Danio rerio: one gene and its partners. The protein of the gene in region 2 interacts with the protein of the main gene of each other region in a biochemical or structural test. Links are inferred from orthologs where the notes say so. Each region holds a gene or a part of one and is shown on either strand. Other genes may lie near its edges. The genes, in order: smad3a, skib and snw1.

Region 1 (3,139 bases), on a different chromosome or scaffold from region 2:
TGCCGATTGATGGACTTTGGCCAGGACAGTGGGGTTACACCCTTACTTTTTACGAGAAGTGCCATGGGATTTTTAATGACCACAGAGAGTCAGGACCTCGGTTTAACATCTCAACCTCACTGACAGTACAGTGTCCCCTTCACTTTTACTGGGGCATTAGGACGTCCCCTGCTGGCCTCTCTAATACCACTTTCAACAGCAACCTAGTTTTTCCTATGTGGTCTCCCATGCAGGTACTGACCTGGCACAGGTCTGCTTAGCTTCAGTGAGTAACCGGTCTTAGGCTGCATGGTGATATGGCTGTGGCAATAATAATAATAATAATAATAATAGGCAACGCGGTGGCACAAAGGGTAGCGCTGTCACCTCACAGCATGAAGGTCACAGGTTCGAACCCCGGCTGTGTGGAGTTTGTATGTTCTCCCCGTGTTTGCGTGGGTTTCCTCCGGGTGCTCCGGTTTCCCACACAGTCCAAAGACATGTGGTACAAGTGAATTGGGTAGGCTAAAAATTGTTCACAGTGAATAAGCGTGTATGGATGTTTCCCAGTGATAGTTTACAGCTGGAAGGGCATCCGCTGTGTAAAACATATGCTGGATAAGTTGGTGGTTCATTCCACTGTGGGGACCCCAAATTAATAAAGGGACTAAGTCGAAAAGAAAATGAATGAATGAATAATAATAATACATTTAAACTAAGTGGTTAACTCAGGTGCTGGTTTTTGGTCTTATTTATTTGTTTTGTAAATTTGCATTGATCTTATTGACATGAAATGTTGTGACTTTTCCTACACTTGCTTCATACTTAAGTGCTTATAACTTAAATTGGCAAATGTGCTTATCATTGGATGCTGGATAAGTTGGCGGTTCATTGCACTGTGGCGACCCCGGAATAATAAAAGGACTAAGATGAAAAGAAAATGAATGAATGAATGAAATACTTGAGCCATAACTTTAATTTACTGCAAAACTGATGCCTGTCACAGTCATATTTTCTCTTATAATGTTAATTATGTAATGATTTATATAAACAAATTCAAGCAGCAAGAAATACATTTCATTTTTTGGAGCTTGCCTTTACAAGCATTCAAGCCAGCCCCTTTCCACTTCATTTGGCCTAAATAAAATCATATACCTTTCAGATTTTATTAAGTTAGGCTGTCTGTAGATGATTAGATTACACTGATCTGATGCAGTACATATATTTGAATATGGCTAAGTGTATTCATAGTTTTGCACATTGTGTCGGCATTCTGATTTCTAATTATTTCTCTCTCTCTTTAATGGCGTCAGGCGGCAGACAGTGACTAGCACCCCCTGCTGGATAGAGCTGCACCTTAACGGGCCTCTGCAGTGGCTGGACAAAGTACTCACTCAGATGGGCTCCCCCTCCATCCGCTGCTCCAGTGTGTCATAGGAAGAAAAAAAGACTGCACAAACTCAACATATACAAACCACCAGATCTGGAAAAAGTTCCTTCAGGACTCAAAGGCTGGAGATTACAGACTCGGTAGCACTTTCACATGTGTTTGTTTCAATGTTGGAGACATTGTATTATTACAGTATATGTACAGTACATACTTGTTTTTTTATGTTATTGTTAGCCATTTTTATTGCCATGAAATATTGCCATTTATGATATATTTTGTTATATAGCATGTCTATGTGAGATATCTCTTCTCTGTCATGTCTTTTCTGATGCTGTTATGTTAGAATTACCATAACAGAGGCTTATTTTTTTAGAGGCGTGATAAAAAGTGCTTTTTTTGTAAAGTGTAGATATGTCGTTTTTACAAATTTCGGTTAAATCAAAACAACACAAATCTGGCCCAATGTATAATGTTGTCTAATACATATCAAGAGTTTGACATTCTTTAGTTAGGGATGGTTTACATAAAATGAACATTTTAAATCAAGTGAACATTTACTCAAACTCAAGTGGTTCCAAATTTTAATGGATTTCTTCTGTTGAACACAAAAGATATTCTAAGAAATGATGGGGGAAAAGTAGCCCTCATTCATTGTACAAATAAAAAAAACTATAAAAATCAACAGCCGTTGTATCCCCTGCATTTATCTCTCTTTGTGTTTAACAGATTTAAGAAACTCAAACAAGTTTGGAACAAATGTAGAATGAGTAAACGATGACAGAAGTTTCATTTTTGGGTGAACTGTTTTAAGAAAGAAAGAAGAAAAAGAAAGAAACTCTTTGACTCATTTTTCTTTTTTTTTTTTAGAATTCTACTCAAACATTGAATCCCCAAATTAATATCTGATACATATCAAGAGTTTGACATTCTTCTTGACGGGATACTTTACATAAAAATGAAAATTTTCAAATAATTTACTCACACTCAAGTGGTTCTAAACCTTTATGAATTTTGTCTTCTGTTGAAAACAAGATATTCTGAAGAATTTTGGTGGAAAATCAGCCCTTGACATTGACTGTACAAACAAAAAATACTATAAAAGTGAAGAGCTGTTTCGTTCCTACATTCTTCAGTATATCTTCTCGTGCGTTTAGCAGAAGCAAGAAACTCAAACAAGTTTGTAACAATGAGTGGATAATGAGTAAGCGATGACAGAAGTTTCATTTTTTGTCCCTTTAAAAAAGAAAGAAAGAAAGAAAGAAAGACTTTGAGTCCTTTTTCTTTATTTTAAGAATTCTGTTCAAACATTGAATCCCTAAATTAATGTTGAATACACATTAAAAGTTTGAGATGTTCTTCTTGAAGGGAAAATTTGCATAAAAAAACGTTTAAAAAAAAAACGTTTTTACCTCTTTACTCACATTTGAGTGGTTTCAAACTTTTATAAATGGTTTCTTCTGTTGAACACAAAACAAGATATTCTGAAGAATGTTGGGGAAAATAGCGCTTTACATCCACTGTACAAACAAAAAATACTATAAAAGTCAAGAGCTGTTTTTCCGTACATTCTTCAGTATATCTTCTTCTGGTGTTTACCAGAAGAAAGAAACTCAAACAAGTTTGGAACAAGTGGAGAATGAGTAAACGATGATAGAAGTTTCATTTTGAGTGAACTGTCCCTTTAAAAGAAAGAAAGAAAAAATAAAGAAAGAAGGAAAGACAGTCTTTGACTTCTTTCTCTTGTTTTATAATTCTGTTCAAACGTTGAAT
Region 2 (4,325 bases):
TCTAAAATGTGCCATGTCTCTCACATTTCCCACATTAACGAAACTGCATTCGCCACACCATGCATCCCAAGCCCGACGAAGTGACACCATGGTAACACATACATATATGTGTGTAGACCCATTAGCACAATCACACTCAACAGCTGCTGCGTGGAAGGAGCAGCCAGCCCGAGACTGCCATGCTTTTGTCCGCTTGCCGTGTCTCTGACCCTGGTGAGGAGCCTGATCAGACCAAGGGCAGCGCTGACCCCACAACAACTGCTTTTTGGAGATTGACCTCAACCCCAACCTGCCCCCCACCCAAAACACACACACAAAACAATGTCCTACACAGCACCCTTATCCTCCTCCTCCTCGGCTGGCTTCCCCAAGCGTTCCCATCTATCTCTGGCTCCTATAAAATACATAATTGAGGCTCCATTTATCATATGCAGATGGCCCTGAGTGCATCCAGAGGCACAAGACAAATGCACTGGGGAGGTTGGTTGGTGGTCCGACTGTGCACTTTTTTCCCCCAAGATGGCATTGGAAGTCACCAATAGGTCAGTGGTTTTCAGTTGGTCTGTTATGATCTTAAAAAGTTGGTAAAGAATGATGCAAAATGATTCGAAAGGGGGATAAAACTTCCCATGTTTCTGACAGAGGAGAGCTTGTGCTGCATTCAAAAACATATTCTTAAACATAAAGGCTTTATACCAGTGTATGTGCTCCTAATTGGAATCTTTAACATCCATATAACCTTTTTTTATAACCCAGAAAAAACATTTAAGATTACTGGAATGTTCTTTATACAAACAAAATAGGTTTTATTTTAAGAACTGTTCAATAAAAGGGTCTATGGGTATTAAATAGTACCCATTATCCTTATGTTAAAATTGAACAAACAATATAGACTGAAAGGAAAGGCAAGGTTTGCATTGTACAGCGTGTTTGTGCAATGAAACTATTTGACGTGAACCATTTTTTCTTGATTGAATAGCCATTTTAATGTGGTCGCTACTTTAAATCTGAACAGCAAGTAAAACCGCAGCTATAGGACAGTTTTCTGATGTGACACCAAGTGTAATAGGTGTTGTGTGATCATATTGCACCAAAGACAGGAAAAAAGATCAATATATGAAAATCAATAAAGAAAAATTACACAGCAGTAATAAATATATGGGAGTAAAAAATTACACAATAATATGTTTGAAGCACTAGAGGCCAGATTATTACGCTGAGGTCACCTTGTCTCGACTCATTTTAAGTACTTTTTAAATTAATAAATTGTTGGAGATCTAAGGTCCACATGGATGGTCTCAAAACATTTTTGCTTTTACAATAAAAAAAAATTAGTGATCACTACTGTGTATGTTTAAATCTGGGTCTTGTAGAAAAAACTAATTACAAACCACAGATATAGGACATTTTTAGGTGATGGCAAGCTTAATAGGTGGTGTGTGATCAAATTGCGCACAAGACAGTGCAAAAGATCAATACAAAAGTATGAGAATCAATAAAGTAAAATTACACACCATTCATAAACATATAGGAGTAAAATATTGCACAATAACTCTGGAGCACTAGATTTTCATGCAGATTTGCATGTTGAAGGGCTGAGCTCACCTTGTAAGATGTCTTGTGCTTGTTCCCCATTTCAAATTTTCCCTTTAACTCAGTGAGGAGCTGCTGCAGTGTGCTGTTCTCCTCTTTCTCGCTATAGTCTTGATCTAGAAGAATATAAGCCCTCCAGTTGGACGAGTCGAAGCCCCAGTGACAGGTTCTGTTCTCCAGCCTTTTATGACTGTGCACCACGAACTTGTGGGTCGGGAACATGAGCCTGCAGTCCAAGCACTGTATGCACGCCGCGTTGGGGCTGGTGTAGAGTTCGGGTACGAACAGGCCCTTGCACTTCCCAAAGCATTCGTGGTAAACTTTGAAGCTCTTCTCTGTGCGCTCCAGCTCAATGGAGCAGGACAACTCTTTGTCGGCGTGCGGGGGGAACGTGCCGCCGTAGATGAGGGCATTGCAGAGGCGCTCGGCGTCTGTTTGTGTGATGAGTCCGCACGAGGGGGCCGAGAAGGGCAGGATGCCCATAACTTTGAGGATCTCCAGCTGGTCCGCCGTGCACCTGGAGCAGTAGATGTGCAGGTCGTCGCACACAGAGTTGATCTGCTGGAGGGAAAAGTCTCGCAGGACGCTATTGAGGATCTGCGGCAGGCACAGGCGCTTCTCGCCGCCCACCACGAAGCACGAAATAGTCTCCCGCTCCAGGACCGTCTCGCACCTCTCGGTGGAGCGGTCGGACGGGATGAACAGGGGTCCCGGCATGACCGGGGGCGTCTGCGCGGGGAGGTTCACGAGCACCTCGGCGCTCTTACCGTCCTTTTTGAACAGCATGTCCTGCTGCCACCGGGCCGAGAAGGCTGCCGGTCCGCCGAGGGAGCTCATGGAGCTCAAGTGAAACTGCTTGAGAGTTTGCTGAAGTCCTGGATGCGGCTGAAAGCTGGAAGGAGCCTCCATGTTTAAACCTGGGCAGTTTAATCACAACAGATTCATAAATGTGAGTCGCGACAGTCCGTGTCAGTTCCGAAAGCGTAAAACACCGCCTCGTAATCCATTCAACTGCTTCATGTCCGATTCTGTAAGTCGTACCAGAAAGAACCGGAGTTCCGAGCGAGGCGAAAATCCTCCCCCACAAAAAGTGTAAAGTTTTGGTCGAAATGTAATTCTTCAATCCGTGTAAATCACAGTACTCACGCGCAAAATGCGTGGCTGGTGTAAAAGCGCAGTTGCCTCCGCTTTACTATGAGAGTGTGTGCAAGTCTCGCTCTCCCTCTCTCTCTTTCTCTCTCCCTCAGTGTTTGTTTGTGTCTGGTTCAGTCATTGAATCCCGGCCAAGAATGTGACTGACTCCCCGGGCTGGCTGTTCCAGGAGACGCGCCGCCTCCCCCCGCAGCCCGAGCAGCTGCAAAAGCGGGAACACAAACTACACGTAAAGGCGCTGCAGCAAGAGGAGGAGTCTACGTACACGGTCTATAGTAACTTTCATTAATAAACTTTAAAGCTTATACATATGAACAGCAGCGGATTACATACCTTTGAGTGGAACAACCGATAAGTCATTTAATCATTGATGTCAGCTTATGTTTTATTTTGATCGTCTTGCCAAAGTGTTTCAATATTTTACGCGGTGAAAATGAACACTCTTTCTTAATAGATACATTGATTTTTTTTCTAATATAATAATTTTCACACATTTTTATGCATTTTAAAAGGAATAACTATATTTGTATTTTTGTTTTAAATTATTTAAGATTTTAAATAAAATATTACTGTTAAATATATTAATAAAATGACTATTTTTGCATTAATACCTTACATTTAAATTTTAGATATTGGAAATAAATTTATTATATATGATTTTGCATTTAAATATATAATAAATGTTGTCTTATTTACATATTTAAATGATTTTATAAGCACACACTGAGAGATGTTAAAACATGTTAATTAAAATGTATATTAACGCGCAAACACACGCACACACACACACACACACACACTCACACACTATTTAATTTCTGATTTCTAATTTTAATTTTGTAATAAATTTAAATAAATATTTAAATTCATGCAAACTATAACAATGCATCTATTAAAACTTTTATCCAATAAATATATATATATATATATATATATATATATATATATATATATATATATATATATACACACACACACACACACACACACACACACACACACACAAGAAATAAACAATTAAAAACATCTGTTCACTCTCAGATACAAATAAGCTGACATTAAATACAAATTGGAAGTTTTCACTAAAACACTTGATTATCATGTATAAAACAAAACATCTAGAAGAACTAAAAACTCTGCACAGTTATTACCATGTCATAAAGCTACAATAAACCACATGATTGACTGATGAAAATAAAACATTCAAGCTCGCCATATAATATGCTGATATACTACTGTTTGAAGCCACAACTAATTAAAGTTGTTTAAAGTGTTGCACAGTTTTAAACCCAAAAATCTGAAACATTTGGATTGCTTTAGTTTAGGTTATTCAGTGTTGATTTCTTGAGAACAACTGTGCAGTACTGAAAATATTTGCACAAAACCTACTCAACAATAAAAATGCACTTTTATCTCAAAGTGCCGTTATGAGAAATGTTGTAAACTGCAAGAGCAGAGTTTAGTGGAGGCATAACTCAAACGGCTCTGTTTAGATTGGGTGAAACTGTAACAGCCTAATTTGTTTTTCATGGAACTTAGAAAATCACAGGCATTTATCTAATGGTTCATTTTGGCACACA
Region 3 (4,130 bases), on a different chromosome or scaffold from region 2:
AGTCTTTTTCAATACTCTGTGGTGTGAAATAAACATCTACAAATGAGCCATTATCTTTAAAGAAAGAAGTTGTCTGTCAAGCTGAAAAGCAGGTCTTCAGAACATGTTAATAGTTTTAAATGGAATCTGACATTTGGCAGGGCTCGTAAAGTCCCTTGTGGCCATTTTGCTCAGATAATAGTAACTGTCTTCTTTGCATATGTCTTATTGCTCAAGGCTAACACAGGGTGTAAGAGTCTAACACATCAGTATTCTAAGGCTATACGCACACAGCTCGGCAGCCCTGTGAATTAACACACAATCTGTCTTCAACCAGTGAAATATCCTGGAAAGCTAATACAGATGAATGGGAAAGAGATATTAGCTGAGGAAGTGATATTAACACATCTCTAATCTGTTTTATAGCCATATCTAAACTGTTTTATAGCCATATCAATGCTTTCCCCCCAAGTTTAAATGAAATACAAGCTCTCATGAGGCTGTCAATGCTGTCACCAAGACAAGATTTTGTATAATAGATTCTGTAAGGTGCAATTATGTAGCATAGATTTTAGGATTCTGGATTGGTAATAAACACAGGGAAAAGAGGCTTTAGAGGGGTTTTGGCCATTTGCAGGCTGGTTTCCAGTCATTTCGAGCCTGGTCTTTGCTGGTCAGGCTGGAAAATGACCAGTTAAATTCAGCTAATACCAGCCTGACCAGCCTGGTTTAAACTGGACATAGCTGGTTTTGGCTGGACTCCCAGTCTGGCTAGACTGGTCAAGCTGGTTTTAGCTGGTCATTTCCCAACCTGACCAGCTAAAACCAGGCTGGAAATAGCTAGAAGCCAGCCTGGAAATGGGCAAAACCCCTCTAAACCAGGCTGGTCGACCAGCTAAAACCAGTCAACCAGCCTAGGCTGGTTTAAGCTGGATTTTTCTACAGGGGAGGCACAATTATCTAAAGAATAGGCACTAGTATCTAATAAATAAGCACTATCTAATACAGTTGAAGGAAAAGATACTAGTATCTAAAAATAATCACTAGTAACATAATAATATACTACTAGTATGCGTTATAGCTTAAATGTTAAAACGGCTTGCCATAAGTGGTATTTCCACATGATATGTGCTGTCAGAAGATTGTAGGCTAATGTATAGTCTATACTTTATAGTTTAGATAGGTATATATAGAATGTATAGATATATTCGATACATATAAAGCCTATAAAACGCTAAACTGTATATTATCCTCTTTATACAGTTTTGACAGCGCTTAATCCCTTAATTCTCTAAACATCGCGAGAAGTTATGAGACAGTAGAGTGACGTCAGAACGCACAGAATCCAAGATGTCGCTTACGAGGTAAGACGCAGAGAAGCTGTTTTTAAGGTTTTATGCTTCAATTTATGTGTTGAAACTCAATTTAAAAGCGTACATGTGTTTTTCATGTATGTACATTTACAGTTTGTGAAAACTCTGTGTTAGTTATTACCCAAGTTGTGTTATGTGAGACGATGAGGCCTGCTGTGTTGTGGTCTTTGTATAATAGTGAATGCTAAGCTAAAGCTACAGCCACAGCAAAAGCAAATAATAACATATTTAAAAGATAAATGGACTTTGAATATCTCATTATTATGTTTTTATTCATTATAATTGCTTATATAAAAGCTATTTATAACTTTAAAAATATATATTTATTCCTGGATGTAATGTGTAACGTTAGGCTAACGTTATTTATCATCGTCGTAGCAATTTTATTTATCAGTGTACATATGCACTATTCCAACACACTCATAGCTCTGCTCACCCCCAAGAGACGGCTGTGTTTGTGGCTCTTAATGCTTAACGTTAGGTAGCATTAACTTTTTTTTTTGACGTAATGTTACAATTGAGGCCATTCGAATAACGTTAGTCTATTAATGCAATAATATTTTCACGTGAGATCGAGCCACTGTTTCAACATCAATCACCCACGTTCCAATGAATATAGGTTGAATTTTGCATCTACATTGCAGTAAAGTTGGTTTTATATACGCACATTCTGTTTAGTGTCAACTTATGACATGCTCCCTATATTGTTTATCATGATACTTTGAATATTCAGTCTTTAATCATATACAAGTATGACTCGAAAGCAACATTAGCACAATTTATTTTGATTGTGCAATGGTATACCTTGATAGTCGGTGATTGCTTGGCTTATATGGTTTCTTATGTAGAGTTTGCAAAGAATACTTTTCTTAAATTGTATTATTAAGGAGAAAGTCTGAATGTGTGAATATAAAACAAACCTTACCTCAATTGTTAGCTGATGGTTTAATAATATGTCATCCTGGCTAGGGCTGGGCCATTAGACAAAAATCAAACTTCATCATAAGTCATCATTTTCTTTACTTTATTCATAACGTCATGATGAATGTATAAATATAAACTAAAAATTGCCCAGTGGTTTAGTGTACAGTGCTCATGGTGTCCCGAGTTCGAGGCTTGTGGACCTTTCCTGAACTTCTCTCTCACTTATCTTCCTGTCATTCTGATTTACTGTTTAATAAAGGCAAAACATTTCAAAAATACATCTCAAATAATAAAATTGAAATATTTTTAGATGTTTTTTTTTTAAGATTGCAACTTTCACACAGTGCTGTTATTCATGTTTTTGTCCACATCCTCATAATGTAGTGTAATATTAAAATAAAATAAAAACATAAAATCATTAAAATTCTGAAAAAGTATTACTGTTAATAATGTATTTTGTGACACCACATAGGATAGACTTTTAAAAGAAATTATTAGATTGCACATCTCTTAATCTGACTTGGCTCTTTTCCCCATTCTCTTTTAGTTTTCTTCCTGCGCCCACCCAACTGTCCCAGGACCAGCTGGAGGCAGAGGAGAGGTCTCAGGCATACAGATCCCAGTCCACTGCTTTGGTCTCCACCCGCAGAGACCCTCCTCCTTACGGCTTCAGAAAGTCATGGGTACCCCGGGCTCTAGAGGTACTAACAATTAAACATTACGTGCTGATAGCTGTCATATATCCTGCTGCATTATGGGCTTGTTCCAATACCCGCATTTGTAAATAGTCAAGTGATAAGACCACATGACATATCCAGTGTATTTAGAAAGTGTGGTTGCAAGTGGGCCTGATCAGGGCTGCACGATTAATCGAAAAAAAGATCATGATCTCGATTTGACCCTACACACGATCTTAATTCAGCTTTTCTACGATTCAGCCAATTCAAGGTCAGGACAGAAGCGTAAAGGCAGTCGCACAAGCCTTCACAGCAATATTGACACCTTCAAATGGTGTTAAAAGTGTCACATACTATATTTATAAGGTATAATTCTCCCAGAAATGTCATTACTGTCGAAATGTAATGATGTAATGACCGCAACCTGTTTGTTTACTACCGAGAACACGCACGTGTACAAAAATGACTCCTCCTTTAGTGAACAGAACCTGCATAGGCTGTGAAAAACATGTAATAAAGTTGTAAATAACGTTCAGTTTGTTGCACAGAACGATCGTTTGAGAGTCGTGCTAAAAGAAAGATTTGCATGTGTGTATTGTTTTCTCAGAGTGACTGCAGGCATTAGCCGCACTCGGAAGTGAAAGTAAAGTCGGCTTGCAAATCATTTATATAATCATAACGCGTTTTACAGTTCTGATTACAACAAACATTTGATATGTTTTTTTTCTTTCATAGTGAACACAGTGTTGTGCATGAAAATGAATGTTTGCTATGTCAGGATAACTACCCTAGCCTATATAATGATAAATATAATGCAAGAAGGAGTCTGATAATGACAAATGTCTCATTTTACCAGTAAAAATGTTCTAATGATGTTGTCAATGACAAATGGCAAGCACTTGTCTCAAACATAATAATTCAACTTTAGAATTATGAATAGTTGTATTCTGATGTCATAATTTTACTGTGAATTAACAAACGGTAATAATAAGTGTTATGATATTTCTTTTGGCTTGTCAATCCGCGGTCTTGACCCCTGATAAATAAGAGACTACACTGAAGGAAAATAAATAAATAAATAAATAAATGAATGAATGATATTTCTTTTAAAGGACTTTGGAGATGGAGGAGCTTTTCCAGAGATCCATGTTGCCCAGTATCCTCTGGAAATGGGTAG

Evidence for each region.
Region 1: the proteins of skib (region 2) and smad3a form a complex in vitro, tested with the Homo sapiens proteins (8 studies listed by BioGRID and IntAct). The link is inferred for Danio rerio from reciprocal best matches to the Homo sapiens genes SKI and SMAD3.
Region 3: the proteins of skib (region 2) and snw1 form a complex in vitro, tested with the Homo sapiens proteins (2 studies listed by BioGRID). The link is inferred for Danio rerio from reciprocal best matches to the Homo sapiens genes SKI and SNW1.

The regions. Positions count from the first base shown.
Region 1 is NC_133182.1:34,183,115-34,186,253, reverse strand, and holds the end of smad3a (mothers against decapentaplegic homolog 3a), read left to right. Parts: intron 1-1,292; coding exon 1,293-1,416; 3' UTR 1,417-2,628; downstream 2,629-3,139. UniProt on the Homo sapiens protein: Receptor-regulated SMAD (R-SMAD) that is an intracellular signal transducer and transcriptional modulator activated by TGF-beta (transforming growth factor) and activin type 1 receptor kinases.
Region 2 is NC_133186.1:27,900,319-27,904,643, forward strand, and holds the start of skib (v-ski avian sarcoma viral oncogene homolog b), read right to left. Parts: upstream 2,831-4,325; 5' UTR 2,503-2,830; coding exon 1,606-2,502; intron 1-1,605. UniProt on the Homo sapiens protein: May play a role in terminal differentiation of skeletal muscle cells but not in the determination of cells to the myogenic lineage. Functions as a repressor of TGF-beta signaling.
Region 3 is NC_133195.1:5,549,582-5,553,711, reverse strand, and holds the start of snw1 (SNW domain-containing protein 1), read left to right. Parts: upstream 1-1,317; 5' UTR 1,318-1,329; coding exon 1,330-1,343; intron 1,344-2,823; coding exon 2,824-2,977; intron 2,978-4,065; coding exon 4,066-4,130. UniProt on the Homo sapiens protein: Involved in pre-mRNA splicing as component of the spliceosome. As a component of the minor spliceosome, involved in the splicing of U12-type introns in pre-mRNAs.